Lytechinus pictus: one gene and its partner. The protein of the gene in region 1 interacts with the protein of each later gene in a biochemical or structural test. Links are inferred from orthologs where the notes say so. Each region holds a gene or a part of one and is shown on either strand. Other genes may lie near its edges.

Region 1 (7,477 bases):
ACGGGGCCACTGATAATTGCTACATCTTAGGCAATCATTTGGCTTATTGAAGGTCACCTTAGGCAGGGTCAACTGTACTTACATTTGTGACTACTATGGAGTCTTGCTCTCTGTTCCATTAGTTTTCTCTCCATCATCTGTTGTATCTCAGAGAGATGTTGGACAATCTCAAAGACAGTTCCATCCAGCAGAGATAAAGCTAGGTTAGATATGGTTGTGTAGGGTAGCCGCTGCTGAAAATTCCTGTTTATAGAAACAATTAGTGCATACCTGAATTATGTATCCATGATCCATTCAAATAAAGTAAAATCTGCATTTAAGTTGATCTCTTGGGACTTTAATAACACATGTTTTGCATTTTCTATTGTCTGAGAAAATGCCTCAACTCAGGGAAGGCCCTGTAACAAAATATCAAATCAATTGTAAATATGAATCATCAATGTGTCTAGATGAAAATCCATCCTCAGAGTTACAACTCACTATAATTATTCTTTTTTCCGGTTAAGCATCTAGGAATCATAATTCATATACTAGAATTGCCATTAGTGATATTACATCTCATAGATTGATTGAAAAGCTCATTATTTCTGAAAATTCTGAAATATGCTTCCTTTTATTTCAATATTTTAATTTCACAAATTGAATTAGCATCTTTATTTCAGCACAATTTATTGGAACAAAGAGAAATCTGTTTGACTTGTAAGGCAAATTCAACTTGTAGATATGTAAAATACACCTTGCTTTGTAAATTATGATCTAAAAATTGCTTTAACTTCTAGAAGGTTGACCAAGACAGACTGTAGTACTGTACTCACATAGGAATCTGCCGAGCCATGTCCTGTAGCTGACTCAGCATGGTATAATGACGTTCTTGCTTCTGTCTTTTGATATCCACTTCTGATATCATGTAGGCCCCTTCTTGAAAACTCTCCTGCCCTTCATCCCTAGGGTCCATCTTTATGAATGGCCTTTGTCTCAAGTGTGTACACCAGCTGTTGGGATACTTGAATTAAAGGCAAACAAGCATACATATTCATCACTATAAAATGCATATCAGATGTAAAATACAAAAGTTATAAATGTAAAATGTTTCATTTTCAAGAAAGAGTGATAAGCACAACAAATGTTGCTGCCCTCTATGTCTGTTGATCAAAACAAACCCCAATTATCAAGTATAAATCCGAAGTACTCACAAGACTTATGCGACAGATGTTAGTTATCGAAAAATAGCTGTCATACATACAATGGTTTTATTCCATTAGCCTGGTACACTACACAATCAAACAGCTAGGGCAAGAACTATTGGCATGAGTATAATCTCGTATGACAGTCATTACAAATCACTGTCAGTCACATAGCTTTTTTTTATTAGCGTTGTGTCCCCATCGTGATCAATAGCTGGATGGAGCTCGTATGCTGCCGAACGTGCACGTACATGTACGACCTTGAGGCTACAGAATAGCACTCCATGACACAATTCACAAAATAACAGGCCATATCAATGCATTAAGTAACAACACACACATACGCAATAGAAAAAAATGTGGAACTTGGTGCATGCTTGACCTTAAAGTTCTTGTAAAATAAAAAAAGCAAAAAGTTTTCAACCAAAAATTTAGGGCATTTCGTCCACAAATTCTTTTTTAAAGGTCTTCACTTTCAAAATGGGGGGGGGCACACTTGTATTTTAACAGAGGTAGAGGTGTTGTGGCTCAGTGGATAAGTCTCTGGACTTTGAACCACAAGGTCCGAGGTTCAAACTCCACTGCAGCACTCGCATCCTTTGGCAAAGCGTTTATCTACATTTGCCACTCTCCACCCAGGTGTAGTTAATGGGTACCCGGTAGGAAGGAATTCCTTGAATGCTCAAGCGTCTGATCGGGATAGCCGTGCTAAAGCCAGGGTAATAGTATGCAACGCTTAGAAACATTTGTATTAAAGGGGAATCCAGCCTTGGCCATAAAATTTTGTGTTGGGAAGGAGAAAATAAATTAAACAGAATGGTGAAAGTTTGAAAGAAATCGGACAAGCAATAAGAAAGTTATAGCTGCTTTAAAATTGAGATCACTAATACTATGTAGATTTCAAATTGGCAACTGAGTAAGTAAATTATGACAAGGGGCAAGGACAACTTTCCCATAGGCCATGCACTTTATTATCAGGGATTTGTGGTTTTCTCCTAAGTACCCATTCCCCTGGGGCAGTAATCTAAATATAACCCAGGTAGTATATTGTTTTATGTCCTCATGAAATAAAAATTAAATTTGAAATAAAACTTTTGGGAAAAACAACATTTTAGCCATAATATGTATTGGAGTACATGGAAGAGTAGTCCTTGCCTTACATCACTATGACATCCCATATGAGGCCAATTTGAAGTCTCCATGGGTATAGTGATTACCAATATTTACAACATTTAAAAATTCATAACTTTCTTGTTGTTTGTCCAATATTGTTCAAACTGTCACATATCAACTAGTCTGATTTTTCTTTTCCTTATAAAAACAAGTTTTTATTTGGGTTGGATTATTTATCATTAACAGTATTTTTACATTACAAATTTTAATCGTGCCTCTCAAAATGGGGGGCACGGGCCGGCTGTGCCCATTCCTGGATCCGCCAGCGTATCAGGCCACACCAACGCCTAAACAATGCACACACACACAATGGAAAAAAGTGTGAAAATTTGTGTGCAATCGACCTCTTGGGGTAATTTTAATAGCCTCATAAGACTGATAAGACTGTGCTGTAGCTCTACCTAGCTGATATCAACGCTAGAACTTCTAGAAAAAAATTACGCCATTTAGTGAAAAAAGTATTATAATCTCCCTATAAATGTGTTATGAACGCCCAAGCCGTCAAAACCTTCTTGGCAGGTACATTGTGAAGGCAGATCAAGGACTCGCTTGCCGAAGGTCCCAGCTAGATAAGGATTCTCTCCTTCATTTCTGATCAATTTGTTGCATTTCAGTGAGCAAAATTAATTTCTCAAACTCCTCTCCCGACAGTGACAGGCATAACAAAGGAGCACAAGAGAAATAGACCGATCAAGTGATTAGAGGCCGGGATATGGACAGAGCAAGAGAAAGTGTGAGAATGTGACAAACACCACCCCCCCCAAAAATAGACTCCTTATAAAGTTATAGATCTAGACTACGTATGGCAGTGTATCCTATTGCCGGACACAGGTACCTTGAGAATTTCAGCCGTCGACGATCACCCACAATACACAACATTCGATCGAAGGAGCGGAAGAGATTGAAATTCTACAAATCAGGCCCATATTTCTGTCAGAAAATATATCGATTGTTATATAATATTTTAAGCATTTTCTCTCATTTTTAGCCTTGTTTTTGCAATCTTGTTCTTCTATGTATTGTTCTGTGAAATTGAACTGCAGAAGTCTTGCAGTACAAAATTGCTTTCGTACGCAGTAATAATGCACGTCAGGAATCATAATCATAATAGTGTCAGGTAATACGTGACTAGACTATATAGTCTAAATATATATTCAATTTCTTTTACAATAACCAAGAACATTCCTGTGCACGTCACGCGTCATCGGCATGCCCCATTTTTTCTTGGCCTCGGGCTCTTCCCTCAAAATTATTAAGTCAACCTCATCCAGTCCAATCAATCCAATAAAAAAATAGTCCTTTTTAATTTTAGTTTTTCATCAAATTATATGGTCAATTGGCTAGTCAAAGTCTAGATCTAACAAACGTTAGATCTAGTTGATTTGGGTAGCTGTCACAAAACAGGAACTCTTTCCCATATTTTTATGGTTACTTATTACTTAATTTTAGCAATCTCTAGTAAAAGTCTGACTCTGATTCTGAACAATCAATGTCGCGCGCTGGCTACTGACAGTGACACTCAGCACTAGCTAGCTCTGGCAACAGGCATCCTAGCGCGAATTGAATGAAAAGTCCCCCGAAACTCAAGGCGGCCTCATCTCAGACGTCGCCTCGCCCTCGGTCTTGCCAGCATGAGTCAGACATTTTATAATGATACTCGCTCTCTCATACTACTCAAAATCGTATAATCAAAATTATTAAATCGTTTGAATTTTCTTCTGTGTGTTTAAATAAAAATTTACCTCACAAATCTAACACTAACTTTAGGAATGCCTGAAAAAAGACACGTCTAGACTCTGGCTCTTCCTTTTTTCCTTTCTTGTTTGCGCATGTAATCTGAATGATATCGATCATGATTATCGATATGCAAATTAATTATGCACGAACCTTTAAATTTCAAAAATCGGTATGAAAACTTAGTTGGAATTCTATTTCCTTGCATCTAACTCAATAATATGTACTTTTAAAATATTATATAGCTATTTTAACGAATAATTCTACTAATATGTAACTGATTAGTTTGTTCTAAAATCACAAATCTTATGCAAATTGCCCTCATGAATATTGTTATGATGATCAGCCAATGAACAGCTTTCTTTTTCGGCTCTTTAAATAAGGCGCATCATTGGAACTTCATTTCAGAGTTCGATATCGGCACGAGCAGGTGAGCCTCTTTGTCTCCTTAAATTTGTTTCATATTTTTACTAAAAAGAAAAGAAAATTGATACGAATTAGTTTGTTTTGAGATTATAGAAACTACTGTAAATAATATGCTGCTTCATTTTTTTGTTTTTTGGATGTGAATTCAATGATTTGATGATGTTTTCTGGCATGTCTGGGAGACTTGATTGAACTTCGTAGGAATGATCTGCAGATCTGTGACTGTGGTCTGTGTGTCAGAAAGACTGTGTGAGTGTGAAATGCATGACTGCGCTGTCTGAAGTTTTGGAATGTTGGGCAGAGAAGTGAGAGAGTTCAAGTTCGTCTTTATTTATCCATAGGCCTATTGGAAATCTGTTTTGTTCACAAATTCAATTCAAGTTTACAAACATAAAAAAATGCCTTAATATAGGGGCCTAGGCCCTATATAAATTAATTAGGCCTAGGCCTATTAATAAAACCATATTATTTCATGAATAATACTAGAATTTTCAACAGTGAAAGTAACTTGAAAAAGACCGAACATGAAATTTGAATTTAAATTCTGGATCAAACCATTTTAGAAGGTCTATCTTGTATGCCCAGTGGTTGTGTGTCCGGACGGGTTGGGTGTCCGGACACATGACTTTTACTCTCAATTTTGAAAAGTTTACAAGCAATGTCTTTAATTCTTTTTAGCACAGAATATAAGAAAATATTATAAAGAACAAATATTGATGGTGAAAAAAAACTATTCAACCTATATTTTTGGTTTATTCCTGAGATAAAAACAAGGCTTCATTTCTGTTACGTGTCCGGACACCCAACCCCCCATCCTACTTAGGATGGGGGGGTCGGGTGTCTGGACACTTTATATTTTTGAAGCCTTTTTGGATTAGGGGTCTACACAAAAAATATGAAATCAATCAACTTCACTCAGTTTTGCTCTGACTCTGTAACTAATATTGCTTAATGCCTTAAAAAGGGCAAGTCCACCCCAACAAAAAGCATATGCTGCTTCAACTGTCTACTTTCAACTGTTAACATGTATAATTTGTTTTTAGCTGAAATTTCTTGTCTTCCTATGTATTTTCCTTAAGCGCTTAGAGACATTCTTTGTGATAAGCGCTATATAAATGATGTTAATTATTATTATTATTAAGAAGAATCTAACAGAGAATAACACTAAAAAATTCATCAAATCAGATGTAAAAAGAAAGTTATGACATTTTTAAAATTCAAATTTTGCTTGATTTCACACCAGTTATCCTGGTCGGTATGCAAATGAGGGGACAGATGACGTTACCCACTTACTATTTCTTTTGTATTCTTTTACGTGACATTTGACATGGTCTGATTTTCTCCATATTATCCTTTGAAACAAAGTTTTATTCCTCCCTGAACATGTTGCATTAACCCCTTTATTAAAGGACAAGTCCACCCCAACAAAAAGTTAATTTGAATAAAAAGAGAAAAATCCAACTAACATAACACTGAAAATTTCATCAAAATCGGGTGTAAAATAAGAAAGTTATGACATTTTAAAGTTTCGCTTAATTTCACAAAACAGTTACTCAGTATATGCACATCCTGGTCAGTATGCAAATGAGGAGACTGATGATGTCATCCACTCACTATTTCTTTTGTATTTTATTATATGAAATATGAAATATTCTAATTTTCTCCTCATTGTCAAGTGAAACAACGATTAATTCCTCCTGAACATGTGGAATTAGGATTGTTTAATACTATTTGGTTCAGTCAATTAAGTTGGTCCTCATTGTCAAATCTGTAAAAAATGAAATATTGTATAATTCAAACAATAAAAAACAAAAGAAATAGTGAGTGAGTGACGTCATTGACTCTCATTTGCATGTCACTGAGTTGTGCATATCACTGTTTTGTGAAAAAATAAGCGAAACTTTAAAATGCCATAACTTTCTTATTTTACATCCAATTTTGATGAAATTTTCAGTTCTGCTAGATTGATTTTTCTCTATTTATTCAAATTAACATTTTTCTGGGGTGGACTGGACCTTTAACATTGTTTAACATGTGGTTCAGTCAAGTTTTACATTGTCAATTCTGTAAAAAGTAGAATATAATAATTGTGTAATTGAAACAAAAAACAAGAGAAATAGTGAGTGATGGACATCATCAACTCATTTGCATATCACTGAGTTGTGCACTGTTTTGAGAAAAATAAGCAAAACTTTAAAATATCATATCTTAATATTTTACATCCGATTTTGATGATATTTTCAGCGTTTATTCTTGCTCGATTTTTCTCTATTGATTCAAAAATAAAATTAACATTTATCTGGGGTGGACTTGACCTACAACAGCTTATGCTAAAAATTGATAGAACTTTTCCAAATGGCTGTTTAAAATCGATTGTCTGGACACACGAACTGTCGGGACACACAACTGGGTAGATACCCAAAGTACACATTGCCCTTTTTCTCGACATTCGATTATCTGCGGCACTCAAATTATTTTTGACAGGGATGTGCATGCCTCACATTAAAGGGTACTCTGGGTTGAAAATATTCATAAAATAAATAGAGTAAAAATTCACAGAGCAAAATGCTGAAAATTTCATCAAAATCTGATAACAAAGTTATATTGCATTTTAAATTTTTATTTAGCAAACAGTTGTATGTCATGAATATTCATTAAGTGGGCTGATGTCACATCCCCTGATCCCCACTTTTTTCTTTGTTATTACATGAAATCATGTGTGAATGAGTATGTCTCTCAAAAAATAATGAAATAAGTTGCAGCTAAATGAATATCTAATGCAGATCAGTTGTCAATCCAAATTTTTTTAGTTCTTGGATAAACAAAATTGAATAAACCTAATTTCATATAATAAATGAAATATGACATCAGATTGCTCATTGAATATTCATGAAGAAATGCATAGAACTGTTTCAACCGGAATAATGCAAAATGAATCTTGTTAAAGGGGTACTCCAGGG
Region 2 (7,187 bases), on another chromosome or scaffold:
GAGAGGATGAGAGAGCGTGAGAGAGATAGGGGGGGGGGGAATATCTGGGATTAAATTGCTGATAATACAATGAAACTGTTATTTAAACTAAAAAGTTATTTTTATAATTTAGCTCTAAAAAAAAATAGATATAATTGTTATTTGTTTAGACCTGTTTTTATTACTTTTTCTACTTGCCTTTATCAAAGATTTTCCACTGTTGCTTTTACTCTGCTTGACTCATTTTTTTTATTTTATTTTCTATTTTTTTTTTTTTTTTTGGGGGGGGGGGGGTGTAAATAGTTACCTAGAGGTATGCAAATTTTGGCGTATCCTCTGTTATGAATTTGCACCAGCTCCACCACTCCACCTGGGCAGCTTCCTCGTTGGAGTAAAATAATAAATATATGTCTTCGTGGAGACAAAAACTGCTGCAGTTGATATGATAAACAAAACAATATGCCTTTAATGTCATAAAGACATTGATATCTTTGCAATACGCCACAGCAGGCATTGTTGCACGTGTTGCACTGCACCGTATCGTATTTGATTTGATGAATGAAATGAAAATAAGAACGGGTTTCATGACATGAACCAAAGGGCACAGAGTAACTTGAACTTGTAAATGGGGAAATTCCACTCAAACATAAAAGATTATTCTAAGCATAAAACTGAAATAATTGATATGTTTGATACAGTGCTATATTGTTATGGATGTTTATGATTTAGAGGTAAAATTAATGTTTATGATATAGAGGTAAATTATGTTTGTTTCTACTGATACTTTTACCGATGTGTTCAAGTCACCCCCATTAATAAATTAACTTTCTAACTTTAATCGACAATGAAAACAAGTTTCATGAAAACAAGTTTCAGCTTGTCCTGCCTTTTTCACCATGGATCTTCACAGATACGCTCCTCTAAACCTCGTATTAAAAAAAAAATGCATTTATGGGACAATATTTACCACTTCTGAATTTTTTCTAAGTCTGGTAACAACATTTGCTCGTTGTAATAATATTCCATACCTAAAAGAAATATTTATGGACGTACATATTTTCGTGTTCTTCGGTAATTTCGAAAAAATAATCATAGAAATAGATTGGTACAGACAATGGCCGGGGTGCATCACAGGCACATGTGAGGTGTTTTTAGTTTAGGTGAGTACTATTATTACGTTTAAATATATATATATATTTTTTTTTTTTTTTTTTTTTAATAAGGCCTATGTTTTTAATTACAGGAAATCACACACAATATTTACATAATTAGACATGATCGTAAACAAACAAACAAAAATAAAACAACATTTAAAAACGTAAATTATAATATATCTTAAAATTGGCAACGGCATGTCATGACTGTGCATTTATGCCTGGGAAGCTAGCTAGCTGCGGCCGGTCTAGTACCGTATACGCAGTGCATCAGTACCGGGTGCGCTGGGCATGGCAAGACCGTGACTACGTTCGGAGTTCTGACGGAGAAGAAAAGATGGAAATAACTTCCACCAAAAACATGATCTAGAAGTCGAATATGTCAAATGATCATCATTTATAGGTATGAAATATGAATCAACGTTTATTTTTAAAGAAAATCGTAAATTTCTATTTATGGGGAGAGTTTTACTTTTTAGAATGCATTTTTCGTAAATAACGTCTCGTGCACAAGCTACCACAGACTACGAGCCGGGCTGCAGCGGCAAATTTAAAATTGAATATTAATTTAAGGAGGTCGTTCGAAACTAGCTATTCATCGACCATTTTACGTGACAACTAGCTTCGGGGAAGTTAGGGGGCTGAATCGGTTATCTCTGTCCCTTTCTGGTCTCACAAAGGCCATAGTTTGACACTTAATATCTTCACTTTTTGGAAACCTTTGGAACTGGGAGTTGGTATGTTTGCTTTGATTTTGTTTTCTCTTTCATGTCATTGTAAATAAAAATGTGAAGACGTTCAAATAAAAATTTTAGGATTTCAATTTGTCCACCCTAGTATTGGTTTTAACGTGCATAGGTTGTGACTCTCCTATACACGGGACCAACATTTGCGTCCTTTCCGATGGACGGAGTGTTTTCCAACTGCATTCACACCCGCACTGAACACAGCGGTGAGGCACGTTAACACACAACGCTAGCATCAGTTTTTTTGTTAGACGTCTTCCGGCATGCTGCGGGACTCGAACCCACGCACGTTGAGATCTACGATCTTTTCCGGAACAGGCGCTCTAACCGACTAAGCTACACTACACTGAGGTCAGAAGCCCATTTGTTTTGTGTGTGATTTACAACAAAAATCCTTATCAAAACAAGAGTAGACGGTGAAAAGGGGTAATTTTTCATGAGGAATCTGCTTATCACATTTTAATTTGTCGCCAAGGTAATCCTTTTGCAGCAAATGTAAACAAAGGAAATTGGTCTCCAAAACTGGAGACTGTCTCTGAAATTGGATACCCAAATTCTTTACAAAAGTCTCTGATATCAGTAGAGGCGCACGGCCAATATGGGAGACTCTCTCCAATAGGGGAGACAATCTCCCACATTGGAGACTTGCTTTGCAAAAGGACAAAAGAAACAACACCAACAAAAGTATGATTTTTTCCATCCAAAATTTTGTCTCACTGAGGTCAGAAGCCCATTTGTTTTGTGTGTGATTGACAACAAAATTCCTTATCAAAATAAAAGTAGACGGTGAATTTTTAAAGCAGACGGTGAAAAGGGGTAATTTTTCATGAGGAATCTGCTTATCACATTTTTATTTGCCGCCAAGGTAATCCTTTTGCAGCAAATGTAAACAAAGGAAATTGGACTCCAAAACTGGAGACTGTCTCTGAAATTGGATACCCAAATTCTTTACAAAAGTCTCTGATATTGGAGATAATCTCCCACATTGGAGACAGTCTCCAATATTGGCCATGCGCCTCTACTGGATATTGGAGATAATCTCCCACATTGGAGACAGTCTCCAATATTGGCCGTGCGCCTCTACTGACGATTAGTTAAGAAGTACCGATGGTGATATTTTGACGCGAGATATGGTGATTTAGGTAAGAAAATTTCACTTTTTATTTGAGATTTTGCCCAAGTAGCAGGATGATTTTGTAGTGTGAGAGTTAGTGAATGTGTAGTGTAAATGTCTAGAGTGTGTTGGTGATTTCAGTGGTGTATTGCTGAGCCTGCCGAACGGCCGCACACCGACGCAGTCCGTAACAGTTGGGAAAAACATTAGATGGCGGCGTAAACATCGGGCGAGTCTCGTCCATCTTTTCATAATATTTTGCTCATTTTTTTGATGAATTCTTGTTTAAAAATGAAATCGATAGCGTAGAAATGTTGGAAATTAAGTTGTATCCCATAGTTTTTTTTGACAATTTGGTCTTTTTTTGGAAAAAAATTTCTCAATCATTCTCGAACAGATTCACTGGTCCTTACATCATCATGTACGGTAGGTCAAATAAAAAAAGGACAAAAGTAAGCTTATCTATCAACACCCCTCATTTTCTTTAACTTAATTTGAAAATCAACCTGTCCATTCATTCACATACATTACACACACGCAGCGGCACACATCGCATGGACACATTGGTTTCTACATGTACGTGCATGTACGTCATGCACGTCGGATCGACATGTATTTTCAATACGGTTAGCAATGGCAGTTTGGCACGACTGCGCGTGTGTGATCATTCATACTCACCTTCGGTTTTGGACGTTCGTATGGTTTACGCGAGTAGTGAGATCGTTTCGGGCGAAATTTACCACCAGACGGGGTTGCCATGGCTAGTTGAATATGAACTGACCGCCACAGCAACCTTCACAAGGGTTAGAATAAGTTGATAATCTTCGAAATTAAGAAATAGCTCGTAGTGTTTCCATTGAATTTCACAGTAGATGAGTCAAGATGGCGGCCTTTTTCAAAGAAGTTGATTGGTTAAATGTCACGTGATTTTCTGCACTTTTCCCCTTTTATATTACATGTCTTTTGTCACTCGGTAAACGTCGATTTTTAGGAGTCAAATCGAATCGAAATTAAGCTGGATGCATCGATTAGTTTAAAATTATTATTGAATTACTTTTAAATAATTTTTTAATTTTTCAAAAAGTTAATTTAAAACTCATTTATAAACAAATTATTTTAGAGGGTACTTTTTTATTTCGCCATTTTGAAATGTTAGCGCGCGCGCGTGCAGTGCAGTGCTCGTGCATGTTACGTAGGTCTACGTATAGGCGAGACGTTGGTGAATGAATGAACGTATCGGATCTGCAGCGTACTACTACGGTACCCCATCGCTGCCCGGCGCACTGGCTGTATACCGCCGCTGAAGCTGACCGACCTCCTGGCCTGTAGCTGCCGCTGCAAGACAGATTAACGTTCAAGCTCTTGTTGAATCTAGATTAGCTCTTCCTCTTCCTGACGAGAGATCCAGTTCTTGAGTGAGTTGAACTGAGGAGTCTCTAGAATAGTATTAGGCCAGCAGCTACCAGTCGGACTCGGAGCCGCTAGCTGAGCTGAGTGTTTTTCTGACTTCTGTGAGTGTGAGTGTGACTGGAGTGTCAGTGACAGTGTCATGTCAGTCACTGAGGCTGAGCAGTAGAGGCGCACGGCCAATATGGGAAACTGTCTCCTATGACTGGCATGAGAAGAGATTATCTCAAATATCAGAGACTTTTGTAAAGAATTTGGGTATCCAATTTCAGAGACAATCTCCAGTTTGGGAGACCAATTTCCTTTGTGTACATTTGCCTCAAAAACTAAACTTAAACTTTAAGTTAAACTTAAACTAAAAGTCTAAAGTAAAGTTTACCTTGGCGGCAAATAAAAATGTGTTAGTGTTACTGATAAATATTAAGCAGATTCCTCATGAAAAATTACCCCCTTTTCACTGTCTACTTTAAAAAATCACTGTCTACTTTTGTTTTGATAAGGATTTTTGTTGTCATCCACACACAAAACAAATGGGCTTCTGACCTCAGTGAGACAAAATTTTGGGTGGAAAAAATTACACTTTTGTTGGTGTTGACTGTTGTCAGTGTTGATTCTTTTGTTTTGCAAAGCAAGACTCTGGCTATGCTATTTTTTCTGCGTATCCACTGGATCTCGCAGTTCTCCAGGACTGGAGGAAATCAACAGAAGAAGAAGAAAAGAAGCTATGGGCATGATGGGAGATTATCTAGAGTCGTAGATAGTCTCCCATATATCATAACCTTGTTCATTGAATGAGTGCCCATATTGGCTGTGTGCCTCTACTGCTGAGGTTCATACTCATAGTCATAGTACATACTCGTCATACATTATTTACATAACATAACGTTAGACATACACATAGGCTGAGGCTGTGGCAAGATTTTTTTAATGATCACCGGCTGCAATTGCAAGAATGACAGAAGTGCAAAAACACTTGGTATTGAAAACTCAAAGTAGAACCAAAAAAATTAATGATTTAGGGTCTATTTTTTATAGCCTAGGCTTAGCCTTAGCTTAAAGGGGAATCCAGCCTTGGCTATAAAATGTTGTGTTGAGAAGGAGAAAAATAAATTAAACAGAATGGTGAAAGTTTGAAAGAAATCGGACAAGCGATAAGAAAGTTATAGCTGCTTTAAAATTGAGATCACTAATACTATGTAGATTTCAAATTGGCAACTGAGTAAGTAAATTATGACAAGGGGCAAGGACAACTTTCCCATTGGCCAGGTACTTTATTATCAGGGATTTGTGGTTTTCTCCTAAGTCCCTATTCCCCTGGGGCAGTAATCTAAATATAACCCAAGTAGTATATCGTTTTATGTCCTCATGAAAGAAAAATATAATTTGAAATAAAACTTTTGGGGAAAATGACATTTTAGCCATAATATGTATTGGAGTACATGGAAGAGTAGTCCTTGCCTTACATCACTATGACTTCCCATATGCGGCCAATTTGAAGTCTCCATGGGTATAGTGATTACCAATATTTATGACTTTTAAAAATTCATAACTTTCTTGTTGTTTGTCCAATATTGTTCAAACTTTCACCTTTCAACTTGTCTGATTTTTCTTTTCCTTATAAATACAAGTTTTTATTTGGGTTGGATTCCCCTTTAAGTTCTTTTGAATGTATGTCACCGACAGTCACTGTTGACTTGTTGTGTTATTTAACAATTATTTTCCTGTTTATTACTTGAATCAAACATTCATCTATTGTATCATTCATTTTCATCTTGTAGTTGTACTTTGTATTTACTGTAGGATGGGGGTCGGGTGTCCGGACACTTATATTTTTGAAGCCTTCTTTTTTGTCTTGGGATTACACTAAAAACATGAATTCAATTGTTGTAATCATCTTCTATTTTGTTCTCTACAATATTTCCGTACATTTTGTAAAAAAAATTGATGAAACTTCGCTTGTACATTTTTCCAAATGACTTTCTAAAATTGATCGTCCGGACACACAACCTGTCCGGACACACAACCACTCACTGGCTCACTGCTACCATCCTGCCTGTGGGGAATCTACAGGTAGGACTATGGTAGGACTGACCGCGATTTATCGCTAATCTCCGAAGAGCGGAGGATCAAAACAGAGAGAGAGAGAGAGGGTATGCCAATGCTGTATAGAGCACACACTTTAAAAAATCATTAAAATATCACTTTTGTGACCAAAATTATATTAATTTATATACAGTTGCAATTCAATTTTCATTAGTAACTTAGAATAATTTTTGTGTTGACCAGGGGCCCGTTTCTCAACACATGGACAAGTTAGTCATATCTTTATCCACCAACCACGGAGTTAGTTCCAATCTTACTAAACCTGTTTCTCGAAAGGCTTCCTAACTAGAATACCTTGATATCGATACTATCGGTAAAAAGAGCAGATGAGACGTAGCCTTAGTCACAAAATAGCATAATTTTCAAAAAGAAAAATTGTGACAAAAATTGCAAATATTATGATGAATTGGGAAATAAATCTTTTGAAAATAATAGCACAGGTGAATTATGCATCATACATACTTAGACCATGAAGACTGGATCATTCAATTGCTGAGAAAATCAAATTATGAATAATTCATTTCATGACTTAAAAATCACTTGTGGACGTTGAGATGGGTACCCCCGGGAGACCCAATTTTAATAGTTTACGAAAGTAAACCATAACGGTTTTCTCTGTAAAATGATGATAATTATACAGACTTTTACGATTCCAAACGTCATCAAAATATAGTTTAACGAAAC

What was found. The genes of interacting proteins can lie anywhere in the genome.
Region 2: the proteins of importin subunit alpha-1-like (region 1) and exportin-2-like form a complex in vitro, tested with the Homo sapiens proteins (2 studies listed by BioGRID). The link is inferred for Lytechinus pictus from reciprocal best matches to the Homo sapiens genes KPNA2 and CSE1L.

The regions. Positions count from the first base shown.
Region 1 is NC_087248.1:5,553,269-5,560,745, reverse strand, and holds the start of importin subunit alpha-1-like, read left to right. Parts: upstream 1-4,420; 5' UTR 4,421-4,521; intron 4,522-7,477. Other genes in the region: protein DGCR6-like, read right to left, coding at 83-243, 816-955.
Region 2 is NC_087261.1:28,251,631-28,258,817, forward strand, and holds the start of exportin-2-like, read left to right. Parts: upstream 1-4,131; 5' UTR 4,132-4,408; exon of another isoform or gene 4,409-4,516; intron 4,517-7,187. Other genes in the region: nuclear pore complex protein Nup153-like, read right to left, coding at 3,672-3,752. UniProt on the Homo sapiens protein: Export receptor for importin-alpha. Mediates importin-alpha re-export from the nucleus to the cytoplasm after import substrates (cargos) have been released into the nucleoplasm.